Tribolium castaneum: one gene and its partners. The main gene of each other region encodes a partner of the protein of the gene in region 2 in a complex. Links are inferred from orthologs where the notes say so. Each region holds a gene or a part of one and is shown on either strand. Other genes may lie near its edges. The genes, in order: Hou, armadillo repeat-containing protein 8 and glucose-induced degradation protein 4 homolog.

Region 1 (4,131 bases), on a different chromosome or scaffold from region 2:
CGTCATTAATTTAATCCGCAATTAAATGCATGATTAACTGATCACGTGACCAAATTGAAGCAACTTGGTTGGTCCATTCGCGTTGTTAATTTTTACGAATTAAAATTTAATGAATGAAGCTTTCTATAAACCGGCCCCTAATTTTGAAAGAAAATGTGATGTTGGCATTTTTATAGTTTTGCAACAATAAGCGGATGCTAATACTTATGTATTATTAGCAGATGCTTAAAAATCATAAAGAAATAAAACTCTACTCATGTCGATACTATTCATAAAAGAGACACAACTAACAAAATGTGATCCACGAAACACTATAAGGAGTTCTGTGATGCTTTTTAATTATTTATTTATTTAAATTTCCGGTTATTTAAACTACTTTGTGAGGAATTATGTAGTGAGACATAAGGCATTACTTTTATACCTAAAAGTAGGATGGCTAATTCGTGGAAACGTTAGCTCGATTCTGGAAATTGGATACAAAGTGACATAATTATTATCTTGGCCACATTTTTTTCTTTTGAATGAAATAGGTAACTATTTCTACCTATTTCATTATAACATCAAATATTTTGAAAGTTAACAGCAGCACTGGAGCAATGATATCGAAGCTTGATCTATGGAAAACATATGTAAATAGAAACAATTTAACATGTTTTCAAAAACTGAATGATTTTAAAGATGCTATAGAAAAATTGTTTGTATGATGTTGAATATTTATCCTATTCGCAGGAAACATTTTTTTCCGTCAACTGTATTGTCATACATGTGGATTAAAAAATCCATATCAAAATTTAAATTTAGAAAAAAATAATGATCTGTCATTAAAAGAAAATCAATTATGTATTTTGTAGATATATCAACACGAACTTTTACTATTTTCGGTAAAACAGTTTAACATAATGCATAGATACTATTATTATAGGTTTTTGCTTTGGGGTTCCAAGAAAATGTAATTTAAACTGTAGGCAAAAGTAAAAAGGTTGAAGACTACTGGCATATACTTATAAAATCACTCATGATTTTTCGACAGAAAGTGTTTCCTGATGAAAGAAGAAAATGATAATGATCCGGTGGGCTCACAAAAGTCGATTTATCATTTTAATTTTTTTTATTGAAACACATTTGTGTGTTCGTTAATAAGCTGAAAACTGTCAGCTGTAAGTAACAAAGTTTGATAGATCCAAAATTTCAAGATGATTTTTCGTTAATTTCGGTGCGTTTTAAGACATTTTTTAGAACTATGATGTCCAAAACGAAACTAGAAATACCGACTCTACATTTAAAGTCTTCCAGACAGCAAATAAAAACCCGAGTAAATAGTTAGTTACAGATTCGTCTGCAGATACAAAATTTTTCTAATAAAAAAAAAATAGAGGCTGATTCATATAACTTTAATTCGAAAAATAAAGTTTTTAGACAATTGGAGATTGAACTGTGTCTAAATTGGCCAAAACAAAAATAACACAGACTGCAATAAATCCTGATAATATAGTGAGAGTTATGGAAGCTGTAGACAGTAATCCATGTATCAGTTAGAGGCGAATTTGGAGACAAACCGGTCGTCGGTTAACCGAATTTTAAAATTATGCCACGTTGATCAAAGCGTTAGCTGATTATGAAAGCGAGTTCTCTGTTGTTATTTTATAGAGGATAAAACGGACCAATAACCTCTTTTTTAAGGTTTGTCAAGGATATCCAAATCACAAACAAATTTATAATTAATAGTGTTTTTGAATTAAGTTTTAATTGAGTAATGTATTACTGGTTGCATTTAACAGTTCGTATCAGGGTCAGAAAATCATGTAAATCACCTTGTATTACTCAAAACATGTATTACTGGTTGCATTTAACAGTTCGTATCAGGGTCAGAAAATCATGTAAATCACCTTGTATTACTCAAAACATTTATCAGACATAGATAAAAACATTTTAAATGTTTAGAATCCTCAAACGTTTCTACTTAAAAGTTCGTTAATTCCGGAGTATTCCGGGCGAGTCCAGGCTTATAAAAAACCGTTTCTTTATTTCCAAAATTCTGCCAACGAGCACTAAACAAGCTTTTTAAATAGGCCAGTAACTCTCGAAATCTATCGGTGCTAACTAATAATATTTAGAATGTTCGAACTTTTCAGGCGATAATTCGCCAATTTCAAAGTGGTACTTTTAAGTAAATGGTATCTTATACTTAAAAGTACCTACTTAATTTTTATATCACCCATTAGCTTGCGTAAATTTTGAAAAGGGGGCACCTTTTGTCTGTGAGATGGGGCCAACAAGTCGCCAAAAGGGCTGTTCAAGGGGTCTTCGAACGCCAAAAGGGCTACAGTCCGTTCCAGCTCCTGCAACACCGAGGGGTCGTCCTCCCCAGCTTCGCTGAGGTGGCTCTGAGCGAAAGCTAGAGCCTCCTCAACCCGGTTACTCCTAATCAATTCAATCAAGTGTTGTTGCTGCAAGAGTCAAATTAGCCCCGATGTGGACTTCCACAGTGCTTTACCTGGAGGTGGAAGTACAAATATCTGTCATTGTCTAACAGTTCTGGATGGAGTTGGTTGATTAAGGCCGTCGCCTCTTGGATCTTCCCGTTCATTATAGCGTCCCTAATACTAATCCTATCATCCAGAGAATGCAAATCTACAGCGGGGACTACTCCCGATTCCTGTTGGAACTTCTCGGCGGCTTCCTTGAACCCCTCTGGAACCGCGAGTTGAGGTTTTTGGTGCCTTAAGGGACAACATACCTGTCACCAAGTAATTCATGATGAGTTTGTTCATTTGGCCACGGCCGATCTCGTTCTCCTCAAGAAGGGCCATCCACTCGTCCCGTGACATCACGTCGTGCTTTTCCGTGTAACTCATCCCTTGGATTCTTTGTTATTATGGCATAAAAATAACACACGGTTTGACATTAGTCTAACAAACGAACTGTCATCGGTCTGTTACTGTCAATGACTCAGTTCCGCCAATCCACACACCCAAACTTACTAAATTTGTTTCTCATTTTATGATTGTTTTGCAATAAACTCAAATAAGTATTCCTAATATATTTTTTTAATTGTAGGTGATGCATTTCTTATCAGATTTTGTTTGTTGTTGCTTTATCTGACGCTGTCTACCAGAGGGCGCAGCCAGTTTAAATATCACCCAAATTTTCTCAAATTCAAAAATTAAAATGTTTCTGGTCGCAAAGGGAACTAATCAACCCAATAATACAAAAACAATAAATAAAAAAAATTGTGGCAACTGAGTTGAGCTGTTGTCAGTGTTTTTACCACGATTTTGACTTAAAAACTAATCATTCGCATTAAATTATTGAATGAATCCAAACATTCAAAGTGATTGGTTTCTTACCTTATTATAATGGCCGACCTTAAACTGACCAATCATATTCTAAAATATTATTTTTGAATGAATCAAAAAAAACTAAAGTGATTGGCTTTCTCCGTAATTTTAATGGCCGACCGCAAACGGCCCAATCAAAATGCTTACAACTTTTACAACAATCATTACGTGTATTATGTTCATTCATAACATGATGAGTCTGTCTTTGTTTTTGTTGCATCTCACATCTTCAGTTTTTCTTTGAATTCTACCCCTCTGGGTAATGTTGGACGATCTACTAGATCAAAAACACCAAAATTGAGATAATGAATGGAAATAAATAAGGAATATTGAATTGAAACACTTTTATTTTAGTCAAAAAGGTTCAACTGACCACTGACGAATTCTCGAAATGACTCATTAAAGCGCACTTTTTCAGTTTAGCAATTGATATTTATCTAAGATTGACATTTCCAAAAAATCCAACAGCTGTCCTTTATGATCTGTCCCCAGGATATTGCGAAAGGGAGTCATGGGATAGATAACTGTTGTAGTTTTAAAAACGGGGCTGGTTTTTTTTGCAGTAAGTGCTTGTGTCCATACTGGCGGCCTGATGCGAACTATTGAAAATCCAATCGAATATTATATTATCTTGAAGCTGATTCAATCTTTCTGAGCGAAAAATACGAAATTTATAATAACATTAGGTCAAAAGACGTGCAAAAACATTATCTGGTTTTGGTTTTTTGCGTTTTTTAAGTACAATCATCATGCCTTTCGAAGAAGTAGGTGTTGTTGGTTCAAAAATTTTTAC
Region 2 (3,195 bases):
TTGAATTATTACAGTGTGTTTACAATTTATTTCTAATATTTTTTTATTTTTAAAGCTTTTTATTTTGCTTATTTTAATTGGCAACCCCTGTTTATTTTTATACCATTCGATGGGGAATTAGAAAATGAACATTTTTTTTATTACAACCCTAACGTAAATCTTAACACATTCGGAGTTATTTGCCAAAAACCTTAACCATGTTCTACTTTTAATCATTAAAGAAATTTGTCATTAACAGAATGAGTTTTTAGCAAATAACTTTGAATATGTGAAGATTTGCAATAGGATTGTTATAACAAAAAATGTTTGTTTTTTAATTCTGGATCGATTACCATAAAAGTAAACGGCGTTGAAACCATTTGCGATATGTAATCATTAAAAGTGTCTTAAATTCTTGACAAAACAAGTTTTTATCAAATAACTCCGAATGTGTTAGGATCTATGTTATGGTTGTATTATAATAAGTTGATCGTTTTTTAATTCTGCATCGAGTGATATAAAAAAATAGGGGTTGCCATTTAAAATAAGCAAAATAAAAGGCTCTAAAATTTAAAAAGTTTGGAAATAAATTGTAAACACTGTAGTAATTCAAATCACCCAAACTCACTTATAAGTCTGTTAGACCTTGCTTAACACTTACGTAGTAAAAATGTTTTCAAACAAGCACTGTTTCTATTTTTTATTAATTTTTGAAACTAAAGGTGTAAAACCGATTTTTTTGTTTTTATTTTTTTAAACAGTAATGTCTGAACCGAGTTAAAAAAAATTAGGGACATGTAAGAAGCTAAAAAGGTATCATAATGAGTACAAAAAAATAATAGCTTACCATTAAAAAAGATATTACTATGACGTCATACTTTTTAGGGACACTGTACAGTCAAAAATATTTTCCTGAAATGTGTCCTAGAGTATAAATACCATCTACAAAATATCAAACCTCCAACTTTAATAATAAGTGAGCTATAGAACGCGGTAGCTGAGCTGGACCACCTGTATTTGCTAAATAATAAATTTGTCATTTAATTGTGGCATAATACATATTTTATTTTTAAAGAAATACAAAATAATCATATGGGAAGTAGTTTTTTAGTGCCCAAAATAATAGTTCTTACAACAATGCAGCTTAGTAGATGATCAGTCTGCAGTAAAATGCAAATTAGGTTTTCCTGCGTTTAAGCTGTTTATTGTTCACTTCTTTTCACTTTTAAAAACATCGGAGTTGTATGAAATCCTAATTTGCATTTTAGTGTAGACTGATAATCTTCGCTATTTGGAAGACGGACAGTTTGTGTATAATTTGAGTGTGATTAAAATTATAATTTTATGAATTTATACTTCTTTTTATAAGAACGTTAACATTTACGTAACAATAAATGACCATGCCATAAGAGAAACATTGACATTCAGGTTGCCCTTCGACGGAGTTGCTCACAGCCGCCTCGTCCGCCCTTTGCAACTTCCTCCTGGAATTCTCCCCCGCCAAAGAGCCCATGATCCAGCAAGGCGTCGTGCAGTTGTTGGCAACCCTGACCGTCCGTCCCGAGCCATCCCTTCGTCTGAACGGCGTCTGGGCTCTAATGAATCTCGCGTTTCGGGCAGAGCAACGAGTCAAATCCCAAATCTTAACCGCCCTCGGCACCGACCAGATCTTCCGGTTGCTGGGCGACTCGGACACGCGCGTCCTCATGAAGACCTTGGGGCTGTTGCGCAACCTGGTGTCCCCGCGGACGCACACCGACACCATGATGTCGCTGCACGGCCCCCAGGTCATGCAGGGCGTGGTGCTGGTGCTGGAGGGGCCGTATTCCCCCGAAGTGAAGGAGCAGGCGCTGTGCATCCTGGGCAACATCGCCGACGGCGAGAAGGCCAGGGAGCACATAATGTCGAACGAGGACGTACTTAAGAAATTAATCGGCTATATGACGCACCCAGCGCCCTGTTTGCAGCAAGCGTCCGTTTTCTGCATCGATAATTTGTCGAGGTTGGGAGAGCCGGGCTCTGTGGAGAGGCAGAATAAGTTAAAGGAGATGGGAGTTGTTAATATCCTCCAGCAGTTGTTGAGTACTTCTAATACGATGCTGTACAATCGGTGAGTTGGTGGTTGGTTAAGGAGGGCGAGCTGATTTTGCGTTCTGTTCCAGAGTTAAAACGGCGCTCACGCAGTATAATGATGTATGAAGTTTATTTACTGTTTTAAGGATACATGATCCCCCTATCTGATATTAATGTGATGTGTAGACTGACAAGTGTATATTTTGTTTTTTATTATTATTTTATTTGTAATTATTGTAGGATGCTGATTATATGATCCAAGATCTAATTATTATGTTTTACATCCTGGTTAAAAGCACATGACACTTTTTATTCGAGGTCAGTTAGGTACAATTGGAGAAGAGGATGAAAATGACAAATAAAATATTGACTCTGTTAGCATCGGTTTATGAATTTGTAGATAATTGTATAAACTTTACGCTTTTAGTCAACACTTTGGCTTTTGTTATCGATTTTAATTTACAGCATCATTAACAATAAAAGATTATTTATTTCCGTTTGTTTTTGGATTGCATTCTGTATGAATTACCAAAAATAAAGTTACTATTAACATTTCTGTCTTTTATTTTTGTTAAGTTTAATTTTTATTTACAAACAAAATGTATTCGGAAATAAAATTAACTAGACGCCCTCTGGTGATGACTTGAACTATGTTGAAAACAGTAACGAAATTTTCGTAATTCCACATTTAACTGACATTTAACGAATTGTTTAACAATTTTGCGTCTATAGTGTTATATACTTATATTAGAGAGTATCACGTACTTTTGTACGTGGTGGTAAATACTAGTTTTAATCTTGGTCTGCGGTATAATGTGTTAATTGTTGGAATTTGAATGTGGATAAAAAGTGAAAAAAAAATAAAATTTGATTACAAAGTGTTATTAAACAGTTGTCTAATTGCAGACTGTAAATAATGGATCACAGTGATCACAAAGTTGGGCTCAAGAAACCAATAAATTAGTAAAGTGTGTGAATTTTAGGTTAGAATTTTCCACTGACAAACTCATGAAATACTTTGGTAAATCTACAAAACTACAATTAAGATTAACAACTGCTGATACATTTAAGCGTTAAATTATGCCAAAAGGTAGGCTTTTTAATGTCTTTGTAATAATTTTCCAATAAAGAAAGTGAACTAAA
Region 3 (3,281 bases), on a different chromosome or scaffold from region 2:
ATACACGCACAGTCAAAGAAAAAGCAACGGACGTAAACTACGCTTTATAAGTACGCCAACGTCACCGGGAAGCGACACGAGAACGAGTTGTGTGCCGAGAAACTCATGTACTATATCTTGATATTTGTTGTACGTGTGTTTTGGTTTTGTGATATTGTACAAAATTGGTTGGTATATCGACATATCAAGGAGAGAATGTAATTTTTTCAAATATTAGTTGAGGCAGTTTTTTGCGTAACCGTCCTAGTTCGGGTAATCAGTGTAAATAATTGTCAGGATTTTAGTGAATAAGTCAGTATTGCACCTTGAGTTGGACGTTGTTGTATATAATTTTTGTGTTACCTATCATTTGTATATAATTTAACCTGTACTTTTTTTACTTTATTTATATTACTTTTTACTAACAGTTTTATGTTACGTAAATAGTGTCACCTATTTTTGTTTAATGAAGTGTATTTTAATAATAATATAGCTGGTACTGAATAATTTCTAACGGTGTGTTTTCCTCGACCCCCAATGAAACAGCAAGGTAAAAACAATTCAAAAAAATATATTTAATACATTTATACACAATATACATAACAATAATGACTTGTTTAGTCTACTTAAGCTAAATAAACAAAAATTTATACAAATCAAACGTGAAACTAAATCAATTACCCAGTCGTTTTCTTAAGAAGTAATTAAAACCAAGCTACCCATAATTATGTACACAAAAATAATGAATAAATACTGCTCACTAGTACACTTATTGAAAAATACTGTGAAAATCAACTTCGCTAGAGAGAGAGAGAGAACGAGGACATGCAGTACTGAAATAAGCCAAGTTTTTCACTCAACCAATTCACCTAAATTCATAAATTTGTATACTATTTTCAGGCACATGTGTTAAATTTAACGACTGAAACCATTCACTGCTTCTGTGGTAGTAGTAACCTTCAATTGTGGCTTTAGATTTTTGAAAACAAATGTAATAGAAACCGGCAAACGAGGCCCCACTTATGTCTTTAATCGTATGGTCAGGAACAAGAAAATGCTCCTTCCACCGCATAAAAACATAGTCGGTGTCGCCGAGCGCCTTATAATCGAAATTGTCCGAATTGAACGTTTTGGCGTATTGGGAAAACGACGAGAATTTGCTCTGCAACAAGAGATATGTTAAGAAAATAATTATACAAAAAAAAATATATTAAGATAGTAAGCTGTGACTGTCCATTAACAGTTGACATTTGGGTTGGCGCCTTCTAGATTGTGAAAATAATAATTATAAGATAGTGAGCTGCGATGCTTGGCTACTTGTAATTTTTGAAATTGTGCTAAAAACAAAGATTTGGGTGCTCACCCAGTGTTTTTTGTCCACGTCCTCGTCGGCGTCCCACTTTCTGGTCAAAAACGGGTACTTTTGGCTGATAATTTCGCCGTCGAAAAACGTAGTCAAGGTGGGATACTCATCGGTGAGCCCGTTAATTTGCAAATAGCCACACAAATAGGAGTTTTCCTCGTCGACGTGCTGGAAAAACGAGCGAAATTTAAATTTCCCGCCATTTCGGATTGCATTAGCATATGTTGATATTTTTAGTTTTCTTTAAATAAGCGGTGAGCAAAAGGGACGTCACACGTCCTACAAGGGTTCGAACGGTACAAAGTCATCGAAATTTTGGTTAAGGGGGGCAATGGTGCGATTATTTGCAACTTCTAACCTGTAAAACCACTTCCACTTCGTACGAATTGCCTTTCGATTTCTGGAAACCTTGAAATTTGGAGCCGTTGTATAAGAGGGACTTTGTTACCCCCGGCTGTTTTGAATTGGCCGGCGGGGGAGGCGTAATATCCACCCTGACCGGCATTTTTAAAGCACTTTTGCACTCAACTGTCACCAATGTCACTTTTTTGAAAGGAAAATGGCGGCGGTGAGTCATCCGAGTCGGTCAGAGCGTTTTTGCGCATGCTCGGTGCGCAACAGGGCCATTAAATGTGTGGGCGACTGTACTCAACCGTAGTTTTGGACAGAAAAACCCATTTTTGCAATCAACTGAATCAACCCAGATTTATTATTTGGGGCAATTATTCGTTAATCTCAAGCGTAATTAACACGTTTTTTGTGTGTACGCTTTAATTACTTTTGGTTATAAGCATTGGTGGTTGCTTACGCTCATTATAACTAAACTTCTAATTAATTTATTGAGCTAGTTTGTGCAATAAAACAGTTTTATTAATTTTTTACCGGTTTTATTCAAAAAAACGTCTTACAAATTAGAGGTATTTTTATGGTACAAAACTTAGTCTTGGGATATAAAGGGGTTCTGTATGGACTCCATGCCGTCCATGGGGCATATGAGCACGACACTTGTGCCCCTACAGACCACCAAACCCAAGGCCCTCGTGTCTTCTGTTAATTTATAAGGGTCGTCTGGATCTCTCAAGTATTCGATTGTGTTGTCTAAGACGAGGTTCAAAAGGGGGTCATAGCCTTTTAAAATACCACTAGCTTCTCGGCCGCCCGCAAATTTCACCCTAATTGTCTTTTCAAGGTATTTAGAGAGGTCTAGAATCGACTCTTTACGTTTCTTCTCTTTTTGGTCACCGCTCTGATTCTACGGTAAAAATGGGGGTTGAGGGGGCGAAATGGGGCAGTTTGGGGTACGTACTTTTGATTTGTCACCTGACGATGCCATTGTTCGGCTTTATTTGTGGAATTTTGCCGATTTTGAAATTCTAACCTAGAATACGTTTGGAGGTGACGCGTGCATATGGTCTCCTATGCGCACGGAACCTTCCGATTAATTTTGAAATAAAAAAAAATAATTATCGGTTTGTAAAGTCCAGCAATTTCGTAATTAATTTTCTTAGCTTCTAAAGAATTACGTAAAAATTGACGCAATTTTGGGACACAATTTGTAGAGGACTGCTTGCGCAGTGGAGGTACAAAGTTTCAAATGAAAAATGCAAAATTCTCGGTTATCATTTATTCAAAAAAAGTTATTTACACATTGGGGCGTTACTAAAGCATTAATACATGTTAACTATTTGGGCTTCAAGCCCTGGCAAAATGTACAGTATGGCAGAAAATTGTTTGTACTGTTGGTCACGAAAGTTGTGTCAGAGTACTAGAACGTGCTCTTCGACTCCAAGACCGCACAAATAAATCGCTTTTCCCTCCTCTAACGTACATCCAATTTCCAATAACGTACACGGCGAACAATCAAACTGATAAACACTGAAAAAGTTAATTAGTTTTTTTTTCCTACCAAACGTGTGACCGACTTACGCAATTGTTAAAT

The links.
Region 1: the proteins of armadillo repeat-containing protein 8 (region 2) and Hou are in contact, whole or in part, in a cryo-EM structure (PDB 7NSC), measured with the Homo sapiens proteins. The link is inferred for Tribolium castaneum from reciprocal best matches to the Homo sapiens genes ARMC8 and GID8. Residues at the interface, in NP_001350870.1 of Homo sapiens: Asn45, Val47, Ile48, Gly49, Asn50, Val85, Ser89, Met92, Arg127, Arg130, Arg161, Tyr162, Tyr166, Leu200, Ser201, Tyr202; in NP_060366.1 of Homo sapiens: Ile83, Ala84, Asn87, His90, Pro91, Glu92, Leu94, Asp95, Thr96, Tyr101, Tyr183, Glu184, Asn185.
Region 3: the proteins of armadillo repeat-containing protein 8 (region 2) and glucose-induced degradation protein 4 homolog are in contact, whole or in part, in a cryo-EM structure (PDB 7NSC), measured with the Homo sapiens proteins. The link is inferred for Tribolium castaneum from reciprocal best matches to the Homo sapiens genes ARMC8 and GID4. Residues at the interface, in NP_001350870.1 of Homo sapiens: Glu309, Pro310, Asp311, Val312, Asn371, Glu373, Arg406, His409, Arg413, Ser414, Val415, Gln416, Arg419, Thr420, Gln423, Asp424, Val444, Ser448, Cys451, Asn452, Leu455, Phe457, Ala483, Val486, Asn487, Trp490, Met493, Asn494, Phe497, Gln498; in NP_076957.3 of Homo sapiens: Leu104, Ile105, Pro106, Pro107, Pro108, Pro109, Ile110, Gln114, Pro115, Gly116, Val117, Ala118, Thr119, Gly125, Gln146, His147, Tyr154, Cys156, Tyr158, Phe174, Glu176, Phe239, Val241, Pro242, His244, His292, Ser293, Ala294, Pro295, Ile296.

What each region holds. Positions count from the first base shown.
Region 1 is NC_087398.1:12,054,436-12,058,566, reverse strand, and holds the start of Hou (glucose-induced degradation protein 8 homolog), read right to left. Parts: upstream 2,956-4,131; 5' UTR 2,856-2,955; coding exon 2,738-2,855; intron 2,692-2,737; coding exon 2,495-2,691; intron 2,448-2,494; coding exon 2,250-2,447; intron 1-2,249. UniProt on the Homo sapiens protein: Core component of the CTLH E3 ubiquitin-protein ligase complex that selectively accepts ubiquitin from UBE2H and mediates ubiquitination and subsequent proteasomal degradation of the transcription factor HBP1.
Region 2 is NC_087394.1:22,526,115-22,529,309, reverse strand, and holds the end of armadillo repeat-containing protein 8, read left to right. Parts: intron 1-1,407; coding exon 1,408-2,089; intron 2,090-2,141; coding exon 2,142-2,178; 3' UTR 2,179-2,547; downstream 2,548-3,195. UniProt on the Homo sapiens protein: Component of the CTLH E3 ubiquitin-protein ligase complex that selectively accepts ubiquitin from UBE2H and mediates ubiquitination and subsequent proteasomal degradation of the transcription factor HBP1.
Region 3 is NC_087399.1:1,123,972-1,127,252, forward strand, and holds glucose-induced degradation protein 4 homolog, read right to left. Parts: upstream 1,912-3,281; 5' UTR 1,848-1,911; coding exon 1,701-1,847; intron 1,511-1,700; coding exon 1,343-1,510; intron 1,142-1,342; coding exon 845-1,141; 3' UTR 531-844; downstream 1-530. Other genes in the region: Rab40 (ras-related protein Rab-40B), read left to right, coding at 1-121; U6 snRNA-associated Sm-like protein LSm7, read right to left, coding at 2,280-2,594, 2,649-2,675; ENGase (cytosolic endo-beta-N-acetylglucosaminidase), read right to left, coding at 3,100-3,217, 3,269-3,281.